Linked DNA regions of Schizosaccharomyces pombe. The protein of the gene in region 2 purifies or fractionates together with the protein of the main gene of each other region. This does not show direct contact. Each region holds a gene or a part of one and is shown on either strand. Other genes may lie near its edges.

What was found.
Region 1: the proteins of tht1 (region 2) and sey1 purify together in Schizosaccharomyces pombe (affinity purification with western blotting, with the first as the bait; one study listed by BioGRID). This does not show direct contact.

What each region holds. Positions count from the first base shown.
Region 1 is NC_003424.3:973,110-978,685, forward strand, and holds sey1 (GTP-binding protein Sey1), read right to left. Parts: upstream 3,630-5,576; 5' UTR 3,625-3,629; coding exon 3,468-3,624; exon of another isoform or gene 3,426-3,467; intron 3,355-3,425; coding exon 3,280-3,354; intron 3,222-3,279; coding exon 3,136-3,221; intron 3,029-3,135; coding exon 1,058-3,028; 3' UTR 734-1,057; downstream 1-733. Other genes in the region: SPOM_SPAC222.13C (6-phosphofructo-2-kinase), read right to left, coding at 1-132; meu13 (homologous-pairing protein 2), read left to right, coding at 4,600-4,648, 4,695-4,748, 4,796-4,897, 4,940-5,080, 5,224-5,528.
Region 2 is NC_003424.3:425,331-430,701, forward strand, and holds tht1 (nuclear membrane protein Tht1), read left to right. Parts: upstream 1-2,142; 5' UTR 2,143-2,252; coding exon 2,253-2,613; exon of another isoform or gene 2,614-2,655; coding exon 2,656-3,260; intron 3,261-3,322; coding exon 3,323-3,988; 3' UTR 3,989-4,791; downstream 4,792-5,371. Other genes in the region: splicing-associated factor Dre4, read left to right, coding at 700-739, 776-992, 1,034-2,012; SPOM_SPAC13C5.04 (amidotransferase), read left to right, coding at 4,800-5,371. UniProt on the Schizosaccharomyces pombe protein: Required for nuclear membrane fusion during karyogamy.

The DNA.
Region 1 (5,576 bases), 550 kb from region 2:
AAGTTTCATATGTGGTTCCTTTGACGGATAATTCTGCTTAGCATCATCGTCAGTATCGTTGTTGGGTTTAGTAGCCTCATAACCAGTTCCTTTGGTAAATTCCTCAGTACGGGCGGAACCTGTATTAGACATTGCAAAGAATCTCACGTTTAATCTTTGCAGAAATTTCTCTAGATGAGTTTTATGACTGAACGAAAATTGGCAGAGCCAAAATGAATGGTGAATTCCCAATCCTTCTTATTGACTGTTAACTCAAAAGGGTTGACTAATGATAATGACTATTCAATTCTTCAATGCTAATAGTTTCCTTTAAATTCAAGTAACCTAGCAAATACACACTCACTTCTAGGCGTGGTGGTACATTGATCTGACGAGAATGAAATCATCGTCAGAATGAAGTCCTTACAGAAAATTTCTAACACCAACATCACAATTCATGGTTGCTGATATGGTTGAAACTAATTCATAGTTGACTGTGTTCTAGAAATTCGACTTGGTTTTCTTGTACAGACATTCAGTATATCTTCGGCCAACTTTATTCACTAATAAATGCTATCTTCGAAAAAAAATCATTCTTAAACAGTCTCATTACATGCACTATCGTAACTGCAGATTTTTTCACTGTAAACGATTGCCTAAAAAATGCAGTTAAATTATAAAATTCAAATGCTTGGTATAGGTTGAAGAATAACAATGCATTTATTGCAGCAATGGAAATTGCAATAAAACCAATTATGTGTTACTATACATTACTAAGATTATTCAGGATATGTACATGATCAAGCTGTAAAACCATTTTTCATTAAGTATAGAGATTGAGCATACACCAAAGTGGTAAGGCTACCTAGAACTGAAATAAACGATACAATTGTTCCAGGACAGTGACTTTTTACAGCAACTGAAAAGGAAGCAATAGTAAAATATCAGGTTAATAGGTTCATCATTGCTCAAACATTAGTCTATCAATCAGACAGTAACTTAATAAAAAAATCCAGTGAGCGATTTATACAGGTGAATTTTAAATGCCACAATTTCGTTATTCTTTATAGCAGACGAATCATGAAAGCGCAGTTTTTTCTGCTTCGGCGTCATCGGCTGATGCAACTGGTGAACCGCTTTTCTCGGTCCTCTGCATAGCTCTTTGTTGAACTTGCTCTTGATAAGTATTAGAAAATCTATCTGTAGCTAAATCAACCAGATTGTTAGTGGCCCGTTCCAAAACCATCTTCGCAGGCCAAATTAAGCCAGAAATATATAAACCATAAACCACAGTACCTCCAAACATAAGGATCATAAAAACGAATGGATTGCGGAGAATAGCCATAAATTCATTCCAACCAAGGACTATTAGCAATACCCAAAAGTATGGGGGGATTCTGGTGGTTGTATTGATTACGGAACGTTTGCAGTCCATAAATATCAAATCCGCAGATCTCTTGAAATTAACAGATATGTCGGACACACGTCTACGATTTAGAATAGTAAAAAATGAAGCTGGCGAGGTATACTCTGGCTCCAAAGTCTTTATGTCAACGTTCAAGTCCGGATAATTGCCATCCGAAACTTTAATAGAGGCCAAAACGTTGATCAAGTCTAACGTTTTGGTTAAACTTTCCCGATAATCACGGTCAATCGTTCCCGACTTCTTCCACAATTTTGGCATCCCATCACTGTCATATCGAAATAGTTCTTCAAAATAAACTCGTAAACGCTGCTGTAGTAAAACCTCGCTCATTTCAGAATCAATTTTCTTTCTAAAAAACAGCCAACTGTTCTTTTTAAAATTGATAATATATTCTTCCGTTGTTTTAGTATCATCAATATCCACATAAAAAGGAACAATATTTTTTATTTTTTCAATAGTAGTATTTTGAGCAGCTAAGAATTCATTGAGAAGCGTATCCCAAACGTTATGAGAAAGTTTTTGGAAAGCGACCTCAACAGCTTCCGAAACTTCAAACTCGAACCCAGTAAACAACTCTTCCAACTTCTCTTTCAACTTTTCCTTACAAAGCGTTTCGGAATTTTGGGTTAACTCTTCCGATAATTTTAGAATAAATGGATCAACATCCCAGTGAACATGTGGTAAAGACAAAGATTCACCTTCCTCACGCATTTTGTTGACAAGTTCGTTAATTTTAATAGAAGATGATTCTTTAAAAGGCGTATCAGAGGGAAATTCATTTGAGGCGTCAAAAAATGATTTAATAAGCTCCTTGTGTAGAGCGTTCAACTGGGCTTGGAAAAATACATAAAGATGAGAATCTACCGAAGCAATAAGCTCCTGCTTTTTCTTTTGATAGATATGCACGTTGTATCTACTAGCCTGTCGATCATAAGCTTCGATAACAGTTTCAAACATGTTTAAGAGCTTGGTAGGAAGGTCCTTGCATAAATTACCGGGTAAAAACTCTTTTTGTAAAATAGTACAAGCAGTAGAAAAAGGTTCCATTACTTCAGTAATAATCTCATCGCAACGATATTGAGCAAGCAATTGCTGTTGTGTAGGTAAATCAAGGTCCTTGTTGTTTTCAATGGTGTCCCATATCTCACGAGTATAAAGAGAAAAACCATCAGCGGGGATTTTTTTATGATAACTCACATTAAATATGTAATCAGAATTATTGTTATCCACAAATCTTTCACGCAAACTATCAACAGCTTCACTGAAAGCATCAGAACATAAAATCTTATGTGGTAAACCAGTGAAGCCAACATCAAAAAAGTCATTAATTACGGAATTTTCGAATCCTTCTGGTTTCGAAAGGGATGCCCAAATGTTATTCAAATCGGTCATAATAGTATCTGCTAAATTTTCCATTGAAGTATTTCCCAAAAAATCCCGAATAACAAATTGAAGCAAGCACCTTTCTTTTTTGTTATGAAAAAGTTGTAAATTGACTTCTAGTACTGTTTTAAGTAATGCCATGTTTGAGCCTTGGTATAGACCAACCTGATTTTCCCACATATTAACGATAATTACTTCACTAGTTGAAATGGAAAATAAAGCTGATTTTCTTTCAAAATCCTAGGTTGGTTAGTAATGACTCCAAAAGAAAATATTGATCAATTATGAGTAAAGGAAATACTAATGTGTAACTAATAGTAACAAATTAGTTCGCATTAAAATCTTACCTGATCTTCACCGCGCTCTCTACCATCGGTGCCTTCTACATCCATTACAAGAATAGGCGAATTGTTTGCCTTCGACAACCAAATACCTAACAAAAATTAGCAGCAAGCTCAGATGTTTTAATTAAAAAGAAATAATAGATTTACCTTTAGTAGTTTGTTGCCTTTTGGAAGCATCCATTACTGAAAATGAAGTCCCAAATAAATTATTTAGCAATGTACCTAATCATAGAGTTAATCAAATTTGCTCAGTGAAAGCTTTAAGTATCCAATTTAAAAGGATGTTATAACATTGGTTGGATATAGAACTCTCAAGTTGATTTTAATCTACTTACTCTTGCCAGTAGATTGGGAACCCAAAACGGCAACAACATGATAGTTGAAACCAGCATCTAACAGTCCTACGCTTTGCATAAACTTTGGTAATTCATTGTTGAATTGTTTATGTTCATCCACAATTTGTGTGGAAACCCTATTGGAAGCAGTACTCATGTTTTGGTGTAAGCGGAAGACAAGTTAACAAACATATAAGGTAGTGTGATGTCGAGGATGTAATATATCCTGACAACATTTTCAGTATTCATTAACAAATATATAACTATTTAAGTTAAATTATTGTAAAAAGACAGGTTTTGCATAATTTTGTTTATATAAATATCATGAAACAGATGATACTTTTCCTATAGTAAACTAGCAATGGCATAACAACACTCGTTAGCTCTTCCTTTCTAATGTTTACTAAGTTACTCTGCGAATGTTCAGATGTTTGTCTGTTAGCTCCATATATTTTCTTGTTAAAATTATGATTTTTAAAGAAAGAAAATACCAAGGATTTAGTTGAAGAAAGGAATGTATTTTAAAGAGTCATTCGGCCATTGTTTTGAATCTTTTCACAATGGTCTTCAAAGACTTATCGCATTTACAGACAGGAAATTTGTGCTTTTCTAAAAAGGAAACAGATTTGTATGTTTACAGAGAACAGTACTTAATAATAGGTATTAGATGCAAAATCAAGAGTGTAGCTTAAACGTTTCTCAAAAGCGCTTCGTAGTATTCGACGATATCGGTTTCATTCAATTTGTGAAGTGTTTTTGACGTTGCCGAATATGCTAAAAAAGTACAAACATACTATAATATAGCCCTTCGCAAGGTTGGAAATTATTTAATTTAATAAAATTTCTAGCATAGCTTTAGGAATCGAATTCTTTGTACTAATGTCTCACTATCCTATGCAACCTTCTTTCATTGACACGATGCGCAATTCAACCCATCGTTATGAGTACTTTATATAGGTGCGTAAAATAGTTAAAATCCTTTCTCATGGATTTTCTTCCTTAGTTTAGCTAAGAACAAAGGAGAATGGCTTGGGGAAAACGCGTTGTCTCCGCCACGCGTAAATATTATATATAAATGTTTGATGCTACATCGCGCTTTTACTATTTTCCTCACACATCGCAATTGTAGCAAATGGCTAAGGCGAAAGAAGTAAAAGCGAAACCTATTAAAGGAGAGGAAGGTATAATATTGACAAAAGGCATTGGTATTCAGCTAATCAATCGCAGCTGAAAAACTTGTTTACGAGTATTTACGAAAAACGAATCGTCCCTATTCTGCAAGTAAGAACATACATTAAAAAAATCGAAGCTGACAATTTTGTTAAAAGCTGACGTTAGTGCTAATTTGAAAAATGTTGTCAGTAAACAGGTCGCGCAGAAAGCATTGGAGCAGCTACGCGACACTGGACTAATCCATGGGAAACTATATGGTACTGAAAAATTAGTTAAACAGATTACTAACGATTACTGAGGAAAACAAAGTGTGTTCGTTTGTCTTCAAGATGACTTGGCAGCTGCTACTCCTGAAGAATTGGCTGAAATGGAGAAGCAAATTCAAGAACTAAAAGATGAGGTTTCAGTTGTTAAAACTCTATACAAAGAGAAATGCATTGGTCAGTAAATAAATGCTATTCTTTAAAATGTAGAATGATACTTCACATAATATGCATGATTTAAAACAGATCAAAGTTTTATTGATGGTATCGTTCATTTGTTTTGAGCGTACACAGCACTTGTTTTATGCTAACTCTAAAAGAATTACAAGCTTTAAATAACTCACTCAGTCCAGCCGAAATTCGTGAAAAAATTCAGAGCATTGATAAAGAAATTGAAGAAACCAGCTCAAAACTCGAATCTCTTCGAAATGGTACCGTTAAACAAATTTCCAAGGAAGCAATGCAAAAGACTGATAAAAACTACGATTTTGCAAAAAAAGGATTCTCAAACAGAAAGAAAATGTTTTATGATTTATGGCATTTAATTACTGATTCCTTGGAAAACCCTAAGCAGTTATGGGAAAAACTGGGATTTGAAACGGAGGGACCAATTGACTTAAACTAAAAACTTAACTTTAAATTTAGCTGATCCCTTTTTAACATTTTAATCATT
Region 2 (5,371 bases):
CTTACTACACTACTATAACAGGACTGACTTTTACCTGTCTTCTAATACAATTAATCTATTATGATTTAAATTAGTATGTTGTTAATCCGCTTATTTTTACAAGCTATGCTGTACAACAAATGTCTTTATAAATGAGAGCTATTTTTACGATAATCAATTTACCTTTAGTACTTTCATATCCTCAAGATATAAAGTTATCAGTGTAGGTTGCTAATAATTAAAATCTGCTTGTAAAAATATTTGAACCAGAGGAGTCAATACTAGTGTAAAAATGTAGCTGCTTACAAATACTTCCAGCCTGCCGTTTAACGATTTACCACGAGTTATGAATTGCTCGTAAATTTATGCGGGTTGTTGTAAATTGACAATATTAAAATTGAAGTTCTCGAAAATGTTTTATTATATTGTACTTGGTAGACCATTTCATTAACTTCTTATTTGTTCTAAAGGAAATACTTGGGAAGACGCTACGTGCGGTGCTGTTATGAGGTTTTTGTAGTATATTCAATAATGTTAACTACACCTATGAATTTATGCAATTTATACAGATTTTTTTTAATAGTTTGTAGAAATTTTTTTGTAATTGACATAACTATTCAGCTGGATTTTGCAAAACTGTTCTATCTATTCTCACACACACGCCCACTGAATACTACCTAACATAGTGTCGAACTTAACTTCTTGATTGTACATATCTTAATGTCACAGCCTTTGCCTCCTGGATGGACTGAACATAAAGGTAAATTTAATGAGCAGTTTATTTGCTAACTCATAGCACCCAGTGGGATTCCTTATTACTGGAATGCCGAGTTAAAAAAAAGCACTTACCAGCGCCCAAGTTTCATTGAGAAAAACCATTCATCTTCTGTTACTGCTTCGCAAGCTTCTTTGGCGTTTAACACAAGCGAAAAGCTGTTTGTTAATGAAAATGCTGAAGAGCGCAAAAATTCTCGAGATTTGAGGAAACAATTACCGGACAGACCAAAATTCAAGTATGTGAGGCGTAAAATTTTGTTATTAACTTTTTTTTTAGAAAAAGAATTCCTAATAATGATTCATGGGTGGTTGTTTTTACTAAGAAAAATCGGTATTTCTTTCACAATTTAAAAAGCCATGAATCATATTGGGAACCTCCTTTGGAAATTAGTAAAGACTTGAAGATATTACGTCTTCCGATACGGAAGCAAATCAGTAAAGATTCCTCACAGAGTCAGAACGTTGATAGTGGTAAAACCAACCACGAAGAAATACATGAATCTAGGCATTTACAAACAGAGATTGAAGAGCCCTCTGGTTTAGAAGAATCATCGGAGGAATCCGTTTTATATTCTGAAGAATTTTATGAAAAATCTGATGAAGAAGAGGATGAGGAAAAATCACACTCCGCTGAAGAGTTGGAGTTTGGTGAGGAAGATATTATGTATCAACTTCAACAATTGGATGATGAAACAGTTTCCTATGATATACAGGAACAAGCTACAAATTTATCTACTGATGATGCTAGAAGAGTATTTACTGAACTTTTGAAGGACAAAAACATCGGGGCATACCAACCGTGGGAACTAGTTTATCCAAAGTTATTAGACGATGATCGTTTTTACGTATTAGATTCGGGAGAGAGACGAAAAGAGGTGTTTGAGGAATATTGCAAGTCGGTGGTTTCTACCAAAAAAATTACGCGTAGAAAAAATACCTTATCGGATTTTTGGACTTTGCTTCATTCACTTCCATCTACCTTGCTATGGCCTCAATTTAAACGTAAATATAGAAAGTCGTCGACTCTTCAAATTCCAGGATATTCGGAACGTGATTTTGAGAAACTTTTCCGTGAGTTTCAGATTCTACGAAAACAGCCTATGCAGGACAAACTGTTAAATTTTAAAAAGCTATGCAAGTCAAAAACTGTAGATCCTAAAAACCCCGACGAATTCACAGAAAGCATACTTAATGACACACGATATGCCGTACTGACGCGTGAAGAACTGGATTCCTTGGCTTGTTCAAGTAATTAATGAATTTTTTATTAAATAGGTGCTTAGAGAATTTCTCATTTATTAATTTATTTGGAAAAAAATTATTTTTTTTCGCGTACTCTTTTAAGCAAGTAGTTTGTCGACGGGTGAGTTTCTTTGTTTACCATCTACTACAATTATGAAATTTCATCCGACGCGTCCTTTGGGTTATATTTCGAGTTTTTTATTATTATTTCTTTTTTCTTTACTAGTGAGTCTACCGGAGATGTAGAATCATTTATGAAATATTCGAATGTGGCCTTTTCCGAGGGGTTAGCCGGTTTTGATTCTTTAGCTCACGTATATCAAGCACTCTTGAAAAAATCCACTTGCTATCAGGAAGTTGCTGCAACTTTAATTTCCAAATGTAGCTTATTGAATACTGAGTTGACTATCGATAATCGAATTCACTCAGCCATTCAAATGACTCTTTGCGATTTTGAACGGTCTCAAATTTTGGCTCCTTCAGAATGCGTTCGTGGCTCGCAAAGTGAATGTGTATCGAAGTTGGAGTCAACTTCTACCTGGTGGCTTTCATTCACTAGTCACTTTCATGATGTAAATCACTTATGCCGGTTAGCAAATCTGGAAATGCAAAAAGGTAAACTTTAAATAAACTCTAACAAACTAACAATATAACAAGAATTATCAATCGAGGTGAATATGAATGTAACTCTTGTGCAAAAGCAATTTTTGGAAATGGTAATTTTGCATTTGCGAAACTTTGAGAGCGTGACAGATAAAATGAATCAACGTATTGATAAGTTTGATGGAAAATTTAATTCAGTTATCGAAAATTCTTTCAAAGATATCAACTTTCGTGTCAACCAAGAAATTATGGGCTTAGTCGAATTGCAAAACCATCAACAGGAAGGAATGGTACAACAAAAAGAAATACTAAGTACAATCAAACAACTAAAATCGGAAATATTTGATATAAACTCCTTTTTCGCTAATTTTATTGAAGAAAGTGCTGGTTATTCCAATAGTTTAATTGAAAAATTGAATGAAAAGTTTACCTCAGAAAATGCAATTGCTCTTTCCGCTATCGGCAAATATACCAGTGAGTTCTCTGCTTTTATGGAAAAAAGGATAAAAAATTTAATTACTACAACCGAGGATTCATTACAGCAATCAGTGCAATCCAACATCGATTTTGTTAACTCAGGTTTTCAACCGTTATACGATCTTACAATTCAATTGAAAGAGGAGCTTCAATCATTGAAACGTTTATCCTCTGAGCAACAGGTTAGTTTTACTTAATGGTTTTTATATTCATCGTTATTGCTTTGTCTAACAGTACTGTATAGAATTTGCAACACGAACAGATACTTCAATGGAAGTCAGACTTCTTAAATGTCAGTAAAGATCACCTTAAGGTACTTCAACAGTTAAGGCCTCTTATTGACATTGTTGAGAAGTTTATGAATGTATATTTTAAAGGATTGTCCAACATTATTAGCAGTTTTGCTTTTATAGGCTTCACGCTGTTCGCTACCTTAAGCAGTTTATTTTTCAAAGTTTTAAAAATACATCGCCGACCGATTATTGTATTCGGCTCCTTATCAATAATCTTTATTCATATTTACTGCTTTAAGATTACCTCATGGGTGAATCTTTACGGATGGATCACTTGCACTATTGCGCGAACTCTCTCGTTTATTAAATTAAATATCCGTACTTTCTATCTGACAGCATTTTTATGTGCTTTATTAAATTTTCTGCGATATCTAAAATACCGAAATTCCAAAAAAGATACGGAGCTATCTCTTTTCCTTCCAGCACCAGAGGAGTGCAATATATATCATAATGAACATATTCAAGTTCAAGAAGACAATTATCTATGCCCAATAGAAAACTCGTTAATCGACCTCTTTGGCTCTGAAAATAATAAGGAAAAACTGGGCAAACAGGAAAATGTTAGGTTTGCTTTCCTGAATAGTGAAAGTTTGGAGCAATCTCCATGGTGGGATTAGTCATCTTTCTAATTCGAATTAATAAATTCTACATCTTAAGAATCTTTTTTACTCGTTTTCATTCACATGACATCAAAGCGTGATGTGAACGAGCATTTCGACTTAGAGCAATTACCGATACCTGTATGATATGGTAGAAAATTTTAGGCGCATAAAAAATGTCAACGTGTATGACTATGTTTGAGTTAAAACAATTGAAGATTAATCCCTATGAAATACAAAACTCCTTGTTCATTATTTCCTAAAGTGGTGAACTATTACTATCAATATTTAGAGGACATTAAGTCATTTTCATGAACAATCATGCGATACATAAATCTGAACACCTGTTCCATCACCTTCTTCAACATCAATTTATTCAACTAATTGAAATGGATTAAACTTACTAAAAATATCTTATATTCAAACTTTTTGCAAATCGTTCTCTCTGTCATCACCTTAGCAAAAACCTTATTATACTAAGTAAGAAAATAACCGAAAAAGTCGAAGGCAAATAATTTTCTTCTTAATTGAAGTGGTACTAAAGGTTTTTGTGATCCAAACGATTATAATATGTTACGTAACGTTGACAAAAACAGTAGTTTACGAAATGGTTTATCTAGATTCTTCAGTGAATGTGAAATACTAGCTTAACGCCTGTCGTCAATTGCTTGACCATTTATCCCGTTTGTTCATTCATGCTACACACATGAGGACATAACGTAATTATAGCGGTTAGAACTCGCAAAATTCCTACATATATATACTACCCGTCTAGTTCATATTTTTTCCAAGGCTTTTATTTATCAACTAAAAAGATTTTAATTTGAAAATGGATTATCATATTGCGATTCTGAACGCAGATACACCAATGGTAGAAATCACCAGCGCATACGGTGATTATGCAGATATGGTTAAATCGTTGCTTCAATCAGGTTCCGAATATTATTCTACAGAATGGAACTTAGTTACCAAAACTTACGAGGTATATAAGAATCCAAACGATTATCCTCAAAAAGAAGATTTTCCAAATATAAACGCAATCATTATAACCGGCTCCAAAGCATCTGCAACAAGCGACGCTCCTTGGATAAAGAAATTGATAAGCTTTGTGAAAGACGTTTTATTTAAATACCCACATATTAAAATTGTAGGTCTCTGTTTTGGTCATCAAATCGTTGCCAAAGCTGCCGGCGTTCCTATTATTCAAAATCCTAAAGGATGGGAAGTTTCTTCTACTGTTGTTCAACTTACTGAAAACGGGGAGAAGTTCTTTGGTAGAAAAGTCATCAATATTAACCAAATGCATCAAGACATGGCAGTTGATGTTCCCGAAGGGTTTGAGCTATTGGGTTCTACTGAAGATTGTGAATTTCAAATATTTTACAAGCCTCGACAGGCACT